Oryzias latipes: one gene and its partners. The protein of the gene in region 1 purifies or fractionates together with the protein of each later gene. This does not show direct contact. Links are inferred from orthologs where the notes say so. Each region holds a gene or a part of one and is shown on either strand. Other genes may lie near its edges. The genes, in order: nek7, anks6 and anks3.

Region 1 (3,649 bases):
CATACATATAAGGTACTTTGTAAGCAGGAAAGGTGCAGATGCGGCCAAAGAAACGCATTTCCTCAAATGTTCTCAGTTACTTTTTACAAAGATGTTACATGGCAGCTGAGGAGATTTGAAAACAAAGCAGCGTGTCGCTGTTACCTCGGTTTGGCGACTGAGAATGCTGTGAGCATCCAGGCTCTGTCGTATCACTATGTCTGCTGGGAACATGCAATCACACATACATTCATCTGCAGTGCACCATTTGTCTCCTGCACTGCTTTGCATATGTTTTTTCAGTGTAACAGTAGTAGGCCAGGGCCCAGACAGTCTCAGTCTATAGTAATAAAAGCATTTTTTGGTTTTTGTGCCACATGTAGCATCACCACCACCACCAACTACCCACACAACCCTTTAATTATTTTAATTTTTTTCCCCCCATAATGTATCCTCCTTTCTTTCTTTTCCACTTCTCTTTTCACTCACTCTGACCATCCCAGGATTCTAGCAAAAGCAAATGGTTCTTGATTTGCATGCACTTACAGAATATTGCATGTGCCGTGTTTGCTGTTAAAGGCATAAAAAAGAGGGTGTTGGTGGGTGTCTATGTGCTCCCCCATTGACATCAAACGGCCCTCTGATATGGAAATAGGAGGACAGGGAAAGAATGGCTCCTCACTGAGGCTTTGTTTGGATGTAGGCCAAAGTCTATCCCATCCTTTCTTCATCTCTCCATCTATTCCTATCCCTCTCTTTTCTCCCACACCTTTCTTCTTCCCTTTATGTGTCTTTCACTGTCACCTCAGCACTAATCTTTACTATTTTTTATGTTGTGTAACTGTTCTGTCATCTTTCTTTTTCATTCTTTCACATGTTAACTAAAAATAAAATTTTCTCTTGTCTAGTTGTATCCTAACCTGAGATAAACCTCAGATTTCACAGAGGGAAAATAATTAGCAAAATAACATTTTTTCCAATACATGTTTTTTAAAAGGGTAACTTTGAGTGTAGATTGTGTTTCCTCTCTTTAAATTGAGACATTCTACATTAGCCACTTTTGCAAAAAATCAAGACATAAATAAAAAGTATTGTTTAGGGCTGGGCGTCACCACCAACATACTGAGTTGATAGAAATTTACCTTTGGAGATGTCTAATTGGATATTCATTTAATACAGTTTAGTGTACCGGTACTTACATTCACACTCAACTCACCTTTTTGAACCAAGGGCCCACAGAACATGTTATCATGTGGTCAAAAAGAAGATTCCGAGCAATGATGAAGCCAAAACATTGAATTTTACAAACCCCTCCTGCATGATAACCAAATGTCTTTGGATGGAGAGAGATCCTTCATGATGATAACATGATTAGAGGGACAATCTCAGGTTCAAGTTGTGCATCAAAGGAAAGTGCCTGATGCCTTAAAAAAGTAAAATTGTGACAATTAGTCTTTGCTGTTTCTTTTTTGTCTGTTTCTATGTTTACTTACTTGTATATTCCTCTAAAATTCAGCACATTTGCCCCTTTTTTTTCCCTTGCAAAAGGCCTAGCTAAATGGGTAAATCTTAATTCTCGAGCAGAACTTTTATCCAAGTTGGCTTTAGTCCAGGCACTTCTTTCCGGGAACTAAAACCTCAAGAGCAGCCCATAAAATTGTTATTATGGCAATACTTAATACTGTTTCATAGTCTGCGCTGCTGTTGCCCTGCTGCTTGAAGCCCAAGCTCCAGTCATTTGTTGCTGGTTTAAGTCACTGCGGATCCATGAAACTCTGTCATTGCAATGGTTTCTTTGTGGAGCAGAGCCACTATCCTGATTATGGGGAAAAGTCAGTTGGTACTCCATTTAGATATTATTTGAGCTTTAAGAACAAGTGGAAGCACAAAACCACTGTAACTGAAGTCCTGTATGCCAGATGGGGGAGGTTTGCAAGGTACCACAAATTTCTTTTCCCTGTTCCTAAGAACACATGTGCTTTCCATTGTAGGCTGTAGAGAAAATAGGTCTCAGCTTGGTTAAGCAAGGGACAAATGAGAAGTTGTTCTGGGTTGCATTAGGACTGAAGTCAAACAATATAGGCAAGGTTACCACTTCAACCTATATGCATATATATATTATTTTTACCCTTTTATAATGTGCCCCTCAATGTGCTATCTACCATTTATTAAAAAAAAAAGTTTCATTTAGTTATGTCTATGGTTTGTGGTAATTTTGTGTGTTTGTGAACATGAGTGCTTCCTTATTGCAGCACTTCAAGAATCAGAGGAGACTTATCCCAGAGAAAGCGGTGTGGAAGTACTTTGTCCAGGTCTGCAGGGCGCTTGAACATATGCACTCTCGGAGAGTCATGCACAGAGGTAAATCATCATGTACTTTAATTCAAAAAACAAGCAAACTATGTTTTGATGATTTCTCAATCCTGATGCAACAAGAAAAGTCTGAAATGTGTGTTTTTCATAACAACGACAGAAGATTGATGTAATATCACCCATAAAGGACAGAATCATAGTTTTATCATAATAGCACTAAATATTTGTAACAAATTTAATTATTTTCTTTATTTTTTTGTAAAATGTTGTTTGGCATTCCCAAATTAAAGTAAATTACATTACAAGAAAAGAACTAACATTAGGAGAACTTGAGGATTTTTTACTGTGAACAAGTTCTATTAAACACATATCAGTTCAGCTGCCACTTAAAGCTGAAGTCCTGGATTCATGTTCACAGGCTGCTGCACGTTCCCAGTTCTAGGTGATAAACTTCCGTTTAGACTGTCTTTGATTAAGGTACAGGGACACTAATGAACCCCGAGCTCTGAACTTTAACAACCACTTAACGAGGCGGCCAAATCAGCGACACTTTACAATTATACGAGAACAGTCAATTTCAAAGGACACATTAACTTTCTCCTGAAAACAGATTGCAGACGCCCACATTAACGAAAACAACATCATAATGGCTTTAATCTAGTCATGTGTTTTGAGTTGTATCTAAAAAAAACAGTTAATAAAAGAATTATTTGTGGATTGTTTTTCCATTTTTCTCTTCTTGCAGACATCAAACCAGCCAATGTATTTGTCACAGCCACTGGTGTGGTGAAACTAGGAGACCTGGGACTGGGAAGATTCTTCAGCTCTAAAACAACTGCTGCTCACTCTTTAGGTAACTTGTTCAACTTGGTTAGAACAGATATGTTTAACCAGGCCTGGTGAGTTTGTTTACATGCATCATGCAGTCATTGTGGCTCCTCGGTGCTGTGCATTGCCTCCTCACAGGCCACTTTGCTGCTTCCACCTTTGCCCCTAACACAGATTAACCCTGAAGCTGCAGTTTTAATGCATTCATGGGAAGTAAGCAAGCTGCTTTGCTCTGGATTCAAGATGAATATCCTTTTGATTGGCCTGGGATTATAGAAAATAAGGCACAGTGCTTAAATGCATTAAATAGTAAACGGACCTCTCACCTAGTAAAAAGAAATTCATCTTTTGGTGTTATAAAGAGTGTTTGGTCTTTTTTTTCAGATATGGGATCCTTTTTTTTATTTTTTTATACTAGTTTCTTGTAACATTTCTTATTGATTTAATGTTTTTTGTATTAAACGGTTTATTAAGGTACTTGAATGTCCAGTAAGCTATGATAGATCATTGGAGATCACTTTGCTGACCA
Region 2 (3,649 bases), on another chromosome or scaffold:
AGAACATGTTAAAAACCCCAGAAGAAAAATGTCATTGGAGTGGGCCTTTAAAATCAGGTTCTGGTGATTGGGGTACATTGTAAAAAGACGTGCTGCTGTGTGTTCTGAAGGTGGCTGTGGCTCAGCAGCTGGTGGAGCACGGAGCCGACCCGGACCGGATCAACGTTCTGTCCAAGACTGCCTTTGAGCTCGCCATGCAGTTAAAACAGAGGGACATCAAGGCCTATCTGGACTCCATCACCACTGTCAGACCTCAGACAGGTGCAGGTTCCTCTCAACTGTTTTTAAAGCACAGATTCAAGAATATCCCTCCTAACAGGTTTTTAACTCAATATCTTAATCTAAATTAACTTTCCTAAAGCTCAAAAAAGCGGATTTTGAAGTTTTCTGCATCAAAAAGCTTGAAAAACAACAATTACTCAGTTATTCTATTTGTTAGAATAACCATTCTGGCACAGCTACCTTCATTTAATTTGTTCTTTATAATCCTAGTTTTTTATTATGATGCCTTTTCTTTATTGCAAGTTCTATAAGTTAGAAACTGACCAATCAGATGCCTCGATATACGTTTGTGGTCTCACTTTGAATGTTGGAAACGATTGATTGACAGACTCTTCCGAGCCCACTTTCAAATGCTAGGGGGTGTGGCCTTCCAACAAGCTCACTCCTAATTGTTGAGAGTAGTTGCCATAGAAACAATGATTCACACCGACTTGGACCAATCATTGCTTGCTAATGTTGTCTGGCTCCACCATGTTGGGGTCTGTATCGCCAAAACATGGCAACTGAATAAACAATATGTAGTTGGAGCTGAAGTGAGCCATTTTTTTTATGGGTGACGTCACTCAGTCCAGTTCTCTCATACAGTCAGCGGCTGCAGAGCAGTGCAGACACCTGAAACAGGAACTTTGGACTAAAGTTTCTCATAAAACTACAATTTCTAGCATCATCCTTTCAGATTAGTAAATAAAAAGAAGTTTTCCAACGTTTCATAAATGCACATTTAACCATTTCAAATTCACAAATATGATTCTGAGGAAGTTTTCGATCAGCCGGCACATGACGTTCAGGTGAAGCGTGCTTGTATGGAAATGCCAGTTATCCCTCAGTAAGTGCTGTGGGAACGGGTTGACACCTCCTGTCTGTCTGAAGATGGTGATGAGGAATCTCTTTGATGTTTTTACAGCTTTTCTTACCATTGCTGTCAAATCACAATGCCTACAAAGTTTCTTTCTGGAGCTTTTTCTAGCGTGTTGATTCCTGCCCAAACGGACTCATATCAGGTTCTTGCCTGTGTCTCCACAGACGACTTGCGGAGGAGACCCGATGTGTTCAACGCTCTCAAGCTGGGTGAGCTCCGTCTGTACGCTCCGTAAAAATGGGTGGTGCTCTCATCAGTGCCTCATCTGGATTTTTAACCTTCTCTCAGGAAACTCCCAGCTTGTGAAAGAGATCCTGGAGGAGGACCCGGCTCAGGTGAACTCCTCTAACCAGGAGGGAGCGACGCCGCTCATGATAGCTGCAGTGAGCGGTCAGCTGGAGGTGGTGCAGCTGATGGTGGAGAAGAACGCTGACATAGACAAACAGGACGGCGTTCATGGGTGGACCGCCTTAATGCAGGCCACCTACCACGGGTGAGCTGGAGTTTCGGGGTCTGGTAGTTCATTTGAATGAAAACTGGAGCTCTTATGTGATACTAGCACTGATATTTGGCAACATAAAGCTCCAAAGCACAGAGGCTTTTTTTCTTCCAGCAACAAAGAGGTGGTGAAGTACCTGCTGAGTCAAGGCGCTGACGTCAACCTTCGAGCCAAGAATGGATACACAGCCTTTGATCTGGTTATGCTGCTCAATGATCCGGGTAGGCTTCCTCCTTTCTGATCGTCTTTCCAACCTGCTGTAATGAATAAAACAGCAAACAAGATTCTTAACAGTCTGTTAATATTTACTTAAAGGACTCAATGCTTAATAGTTAAATCATCATTTGATTTATTACGTTTTTAGAGATTAAAATACTGAGATGAGCAGCAAAATGTCTTCCTAATGAAACTTTACAGTCCTGGTGACTTAAGAAAAGTAAAGTAAAATGAAGATAAATATGGATTTAAAGCACATATAGTGCAGTTACAGGGCAGTAGAGGCCCTATTTTACCCTCATTCATGAAGCCTGTCATGAATGAGAATCTTTTAAATACAGTAATTTCAAAGTACATGCCACTTTTTTGGGGCATTGTTTGGCCGGCTGTGGGTGTGACTTATGTGAAAAATGTAAAAAGCAAAGACCACTAGAGGGCACTGTAGGTGTGTATATCAAATTTTGCTACTGACAGCAACACAGAGGGAGAAGCGCAGAAGCTCAGTCTTAAGTTGCATTCTTTGCAACACCTGTTGACGCGACAAATCCACTGAAAAGTCTATGTAAACATGTGTGAACGCATGTTTACGGCTTCTGCATTCAAAACTCGCGTGCTTACACGTAGCTACGGAAGTTTCTCTGACCGTTTTCGGTCTCTACTTCCTGAAAGTACTGCCATTGAATGCGGGTTTCAGTTCAACCAGGTTGAACTTTGACCAATCAGGGAACAACCATTCAAAATTTGATCATATGTGTCTGGCCAGAATTCAGTGACCCCAAGTCCTTTTTTATATATCGTAATCAATAGATCTGTGAAAGAAAAAGCCTGGAGCAAGATTTCAGTCTACTATTGCTATGACTTGTCTGAAAAATGACAGTAGTGTTGTTATTTCATGAAAATGTCTTAAAACATTTGAACTTGTTATCAGTTTGTGTCCATGTTTCACTATGACTCATTTGTTGGCCCCTCCTCCCGATTCTCACAGACACTGAGCTGGTCCGCCTCCTAGCGTCGGTGTGCATGCAGGTTGACAAGGACAAGTCGAAGCAGCGCGGTAAGGCGCTCATTGCGATCTCTAAAAGCAGACAGCCTTTTGCCTCCATCCCTGCGCCCCCTGATGACAAGGGGGGCCTTAAGGTAAAGAAGATTTGAAGGTTTACTGTTACCTGAGGTTGAAATTGTACCAGAAAAGCAGAACTGTTGTGTTCTTTAAAGACCCACTCTGATCTTCTTTTGAAACTTTTAAGTGTTCCAAGTGTTTTTTTTTATTATGACTATGCTGTTTTTAGCCCAAATCCAAAAGCCCGTGTGGTTTTTTTTTGCTGATATTTTCTGGATAGCAGCAGTAATTCATCAGAACTTTAACTCTGAGTTGTGGTCGGGACTGTTGGCGCCACCCCGTTTCCCCTCCTCAGAGCCCCGAACAGGGAGTTTAGGACCACGCCCGCTGTATTCTCTCAACACACTTTTTTTTCCAACTGCGTTTTTTCATCTGCTCCTGCTTTACCACAATTTAAATACATTTTACTCAAAAAACAAATTTGAGTTTAATTTCTTTATATATCAACAGAAAAAGGTCACAATAACACAATTTTCATCAGAATGGGTCTTTAATGGCCGTAGGTCTGAGTTTTTCCCCCTTTAGAAAGTCATCTCAATTTATCCTCTGCTATTGTTATAATTATTTATAGTAAATAAGATAACCTTTTTGCAGATGACACCCAGATTTATTTCACTCTTTCTTAAAACAATTTTTTTTCAATTTATTTGATTTGCAACTAAAGCAAATAAAT
Region 3 (4,376 bases), on another chromosome or scaffold:
ACTCAGTTGCTGCTGGTTAACTTTTAATACTTCTTGGTCTGGTCATCACCTACATTTCTTAGAGATTTTATGTCTTTACTCTCTGCAGAAGAAGAAGCATCTCGCGCCCTGAAAACTCTGCGCAGCTCTAAAGCTCCTCTGGCTAAAAAGAGGCAGGTGATGAGAGCCATGACTGGAGACTACAGGAAAAAAATGGAGGAAGAGAGGACAAGGCAGTTCAAGCTCATTCAGGGAGGTGAGTTGAATGTTACGCAAAGAGTAAAAGTTGTTTATGTGACAAGTTATGTCACAGATGCATTGTTAAGTGATGGTTTGGTTTTTTTTGTTTTGTTTACAATAGAGATTGCATCAGCTCAGGTCAAAGTTGCATCAGAGGCCCCAAAGAAATCTGTTTTCCATAGAAGAGCAGGAGTCAAAACACAGAAACTGTCAACAGATGAGAACCTGCATCAGCGTGAAGGCCAGGATGATGCAACACCACAGTGTCACACAGAGACGTCATCTTTTCTCTTTGTTCCTTCAAAGGAGGAATTTTGTTTCAATTTTTTCTGATATTTTTTTTTTCTTTTTGTTTTGCACTCTGTGACTTTTCTCAAAACTCTTGTTATGTAACACCCAAACAGTAAAGCTTTCCTCAGGATATTTTTTATCAAGAAAAGCTTGCCTCAAGATATTTTTGTCAAAATGCAAGAAAATTACAAAGTAAATACATTTAGCATATCAGAGCAGGAGTTTGCTCTAACTTAATATCTACTTTGTTGTTTTGTTGAACCTATCTAAAGAAAAAAACTAATTTAAGGATGTCTTATGAGGTGACTTAAGCATTGTCACATCACAAGACATCCTTAAATCAGGTGACTCAATGCATGAGTCACCTGATTTAAGGATGTCTTGTGATTAAATCCTTAAATCAGGTGACATAGTAAAATTGTGTAGTGTACAAATATGAAACTGAACATTCAAATGTTTTCATTGTTATTTTGAAGTTCTTTATTTCAAAATAAAAGTGTTTCAATTTATTTTTCTGAGTTTCTTTATTTGGCACAGACATAAGCTAGAAGAAATTAGTATTCATATGAAGAATTTATGTTTTAAGTAGTTTTTTTGTGTTGCTTTCCTTTTAAGCATTTGGTATAGTTAAAAAAAACTTTGAGCAGAGAGAGGGTGTTGGTGAAATTGTAACTAAGCTGTTGAAGTCTGCAACGGGGAGTGAAAAAAGGTTGATTGACAGAGCTTTATGAAGCGGTAAAATACTACTTTTTTGTTTTAAATAATTATTTGTTTTAATAATTGTGGATTTTGGGTCCGACTTTTAAAACTGTTTTTTTAAATTTCTTTCATTATTTTGAGGTAAAACATTTAATACTTTTTTTCAAAATATATAAAAAAAATGTTTTCTTTTAATTTTATGACGAAAATAATTTCCAGTAAAAGTTTTCCCCGCTTTTTAACCGGAAAAGGCGGGGCTCGTTTCTGCACGAGCCTGATTTGATGTAACATACAAAACAAAGAAAGTTTGGGGTTCCAGATGCCTTAATTCAACTCCTGACTGTAAGTTTTTATTTCAAGATACGTTGATTTTTATGTATTGATTTCTTCTTTTCATTAAAATTGTCATAACATAATTTTGCATTGAGTAACGGCCTTTTCGCCATGCTAGTTTAGCTCAAAGAAGAAAGAAAGTAAGTTGGGGACAGATTTAGTTTTCGTAGGGAAAGCACCACGTTTTCGTGTTTTTACTTCATTTCAGGCACGAACGAAAATGTCGGAGTTAAGTGATGAATCCAGTGAGTCGGAACAGCTGGGGGCCAGCCTCTCCCTGTGGCTTGGTGACCCCCTGGTGCGATCGGAGGAGCTGAATGTTCCTCTGGACCTTCACACCGCCTGCTCCATCGGACAGTACGGGGTGGTGGCTGAATGCATTCAAACGTACGCCCCCCCTTATTTTTACTTATATACCGGTTGAGCTCGCGTACTTCCTAACAGTTCACGCGTTGTTTCAAGGCGTGAGGTGAACCTGGACGCAAAGAACATCGGAGGATGGACCCCGCTCATGTATGCCGCCTACATCGGCCATGACAACATCGTGAATCTCCTGCTGGAGGCGGGTGTGAACGTCAACTCCACCACCTCCACAGGACTAACCTCCCTGATGCTGGCAGCCAGCTGTGGGAACGAGAGCATTGCAGACGTCTTGCTTCAGGTAAGAAACCCCACTCCGTCCGTTCCTTTGAAGCTACCAGCTGCTTCCTCATTGATTGACGGCTCCTTCAATCTAAAAGCACGGCGCTGAGTTGGAGCTGAAAGACTCTCGGGGCTGGACGGCTCTGTTTCACTGTACAAGCACAGGTCATCAACAGATGGTCAAGTTCCTGCTGGATCACAATGCAGATGCCAATGTGAAGTAGGTATCTGTGTGTTTTTAACATGTTCTTGTGGCATTTTTCCGATGATGGAGGACATATAAGGAAAATTAAGCTAAAATTTGCATTTCTGGATATTTAAATTTAAATCGCTGAATCAGAAGCATATGAATAGTATTGTTGAAAAAATGATTATATTTTTTACTGGGCAGCCCACAAGCTCCCTGCTCTGCTCCATTCTGATGCATTCACTTGCAGACAAATTGATCCAACAGCTCTGAGGCAAATTTCAAATGAACCACTGTCGCTCTGCAGAAACTATGTCCTAGAAAACGATGAAGGTTTTTTTTATTTTGTCTTAAAACGGCATCATCATAATTAAAAGACCACTGGGAACATTCAAGATAACTGGAGTGCGACTTTAAAGTTTAGATTTCCCTTTTTCTTCCTCCAGAGAGCCAGGATCAGGGTTCACTCCCCTGATGGAGGCTGCAGCTTCTGGACACGAAATCATTGTTCAGTACTTGCTGGACCATGTGAGTACATCTTCTAGTGGCTGAGACCATTTATTCCCCATTATTTTTATGGGTTTTACCCAACAAAATAAGACACTCCGTACATTGAACATGGAATCACAGTGAGCCTTGTCCCACATCATGACCAGCTAATTTATTTACAGAAAGTTAAAGTTGATGACCGAAACGCGAAAGGAGAGACGGCCCGTGCCCTCGCCGCAATTTATGGTTATACCAAGATTGTCAGTCTCATTGACTCACGTTTGCCAAGAATGAGACTAGGTACTGTTTGGAGAACATTTTAGTTTATATTCCCAAAGTTTTGGATTGCACAGCTTTTTTTTTTGTTGCATATATTAATCAGGACACCTTGAAGACCTCAGCTCCTCGGAGGACTCTGACGGCGGTCCGCCGAGAATTCGACCGAGTCGAAGCCAAGCTAAAGGTGTCAGCATCCACGATGGGCCCCAGGCCATCGCCAAGTTTAGAGTGGGTGGCACAAGCAAGCTTGCTGGTAAAGTCTAAGAAATTATTGCAGAACGCTTCCCCATTTGTTTTTTATTTTTTTATCGGAAATGGTTCAGCAAACGGCTTCATTCTTTTGTCAATCCTAATTTTTTCTCCTGGCAGAGCCTTCAGCCGTAGCGCCAGGCTACATGTTTCCGGGTGAGCAGAGTGAAGGCCTCTGCCATCGCGATGTGACTTCACCAATCAACGAGCTGGACGGCCAGAGCCACAGTAGCAGAGGTAAAACACCCGTCTACCAGGAATAACAGCATGGTTTCCTATTTTTTTTTAAATTGTTAAGAGTTTTTTGGTGTAACCTCTGCAGATGACAGCCCGTTCTTTGAGAACAACCTGCCCACCATGAGGAGCAGCAGCAGCAGCAGTGAAGGCCTGCCTCATGTGATCAACTGTGAAGGCTCCTTGGAGAGTAATGAGGTGACATTTTTGAAATAAACGTCTTCTGTATGTGCTTCTCTTCTGCGTGTAGTCACTGCACATGTTCTGTTTTCAGGACTCTGATCCGTGCAAAAGGAGCAGCTCTCGCAGAGCTGCAAAGAGTCATCACTCGAAAGGAAAGAATCGTCTTGGAAACACTGGTGCTGGTCCTCCCAGCAGGTCGGGCAACTGCAAATGCACACGTGCTGCTCCACCTCCATCCTACAACGGCCCAAAGGCAAGTTTAGCTTTGCCTTCATTTTTCTGTCCTTTTTTTTTGTCTATGCGGATGTGTAAATAAATTCTGTCTATTATGTAGGACCTGGCGGATTTCCTGGAGCAGATCGGCTTTTCCAAATACCTCCCGCTGCTTGAAAAAGAGGACATCGACCTGCGGATATTTCTCACCCTGACAGAAAATGACCTTAAAGAAATAGGGATTACGTAAGATGCCCGACTTTCATCCTTTCAATCCGGACAGGATAATGTTTTGATCCATACTTGGCGCCGTTCTTCCACCGCTCATGCTCTTTAGGCTGTTTGGACCCAAACGTAA

What was found.
Region 2: the proteins of nek7 (region 1) and anks6 purify together in Homo sapiens (affinity purification with mass spectrometry; 3 studies listed by BioGRID and IntAct, with this or other methods). This does not show direct contact. The link is inferred for Oryzias latipes from reciprocal best matches to the Homo sapiens genes NEK7 and ANKS6.
Region 3: the proteins of nek7 (region 1) and anks3 purify together in Homo sapiens (affinity purification with mass spectrometry; 3 studies listed by BioGRID and IntAct, with this or other methods). This does not show direct contact. The link is inferred for Oryzias latipes from reciprocal best matches to the Homo sapiens genes NEK7 and ANKS3.

What each region holds. Positions count from the first base shown.
Region 1 is NC_019862.2:14,456,474-14,460,122, forward strand, and holds part of nek7 (serine/threonine-protein kinase Nek7), read left to right. Parts: intron 1-2,231; coding exon 2,232-2,340; intron 2,341-3,037; coding exon 3,038-3,145; intron 3,146-3,649. UniProt on the Homo sapiens protein: Protein kinase which plays an important role in mitotic cell cycle progression. Required for microtubule nucleation activity of the centrosome, robust mitotic spindle formation and cytokinesis.
Region 2 is NC_019878.2:10,673,767-10,677,415, reverse strand, and holds part of anks6 (ankyrin repeat and SAM domain-containing protein 6), read left to right. Parts: intron 1-110; coding exon 111-261; intron 262-1,305; coding exon 1,306-1,350; intron 1,351-1,429; coding exon 1,430-1,634; intron 1,635-1,754; coding exon 1,755-1,861; intron 1,862-2,841; coding exon 2,842-2,993; intron 2,994-3,649.
Region 3 is NC_019877.2:9,256,627-9,261,002, reverse strand, and holds the start of anks3 (ankyrin repeat and SAM domain-containing protein 3), read left to right. Parts: upstream 1-1,441; 5' UTR 1,442-1,551; intron 1,552-1,589; exon of another isoform or gene 1,590-1,682; intron 1,683-1,750; 5' UTR 1,751-1,762; coding exon 1,763-1,929; intron 1,930-2,004; coding exon 2,005-2,203; intron 2,204-2,282; coding exon 2,283-2,404; intron 2,405-2,817; coding exon 2,818-2,899; intron 2,900-3,042; coding exon 3,043-3,160; intron 3,161-3,242; coding exon 3,243-3,392; intron 3,393-3,508; coding exon 3,509-3,625; intron 3,626-3,710; coding exon 3,711-3,820; intron 3,821-3,896; coding exon 3,897-4,058; intron 4,059-4,139; coding exon 4,140-4,264; intron 4,265-4,355; coding exon 4,356-4,376. Other genes in the region: c19h8orf33 (UPF0488 protein C8orf33 homolog), read left to right, coding at 89-235, 341-552. UniProt on the Homo sapiens protein: May be involved in vasopressin signaling in the kidney.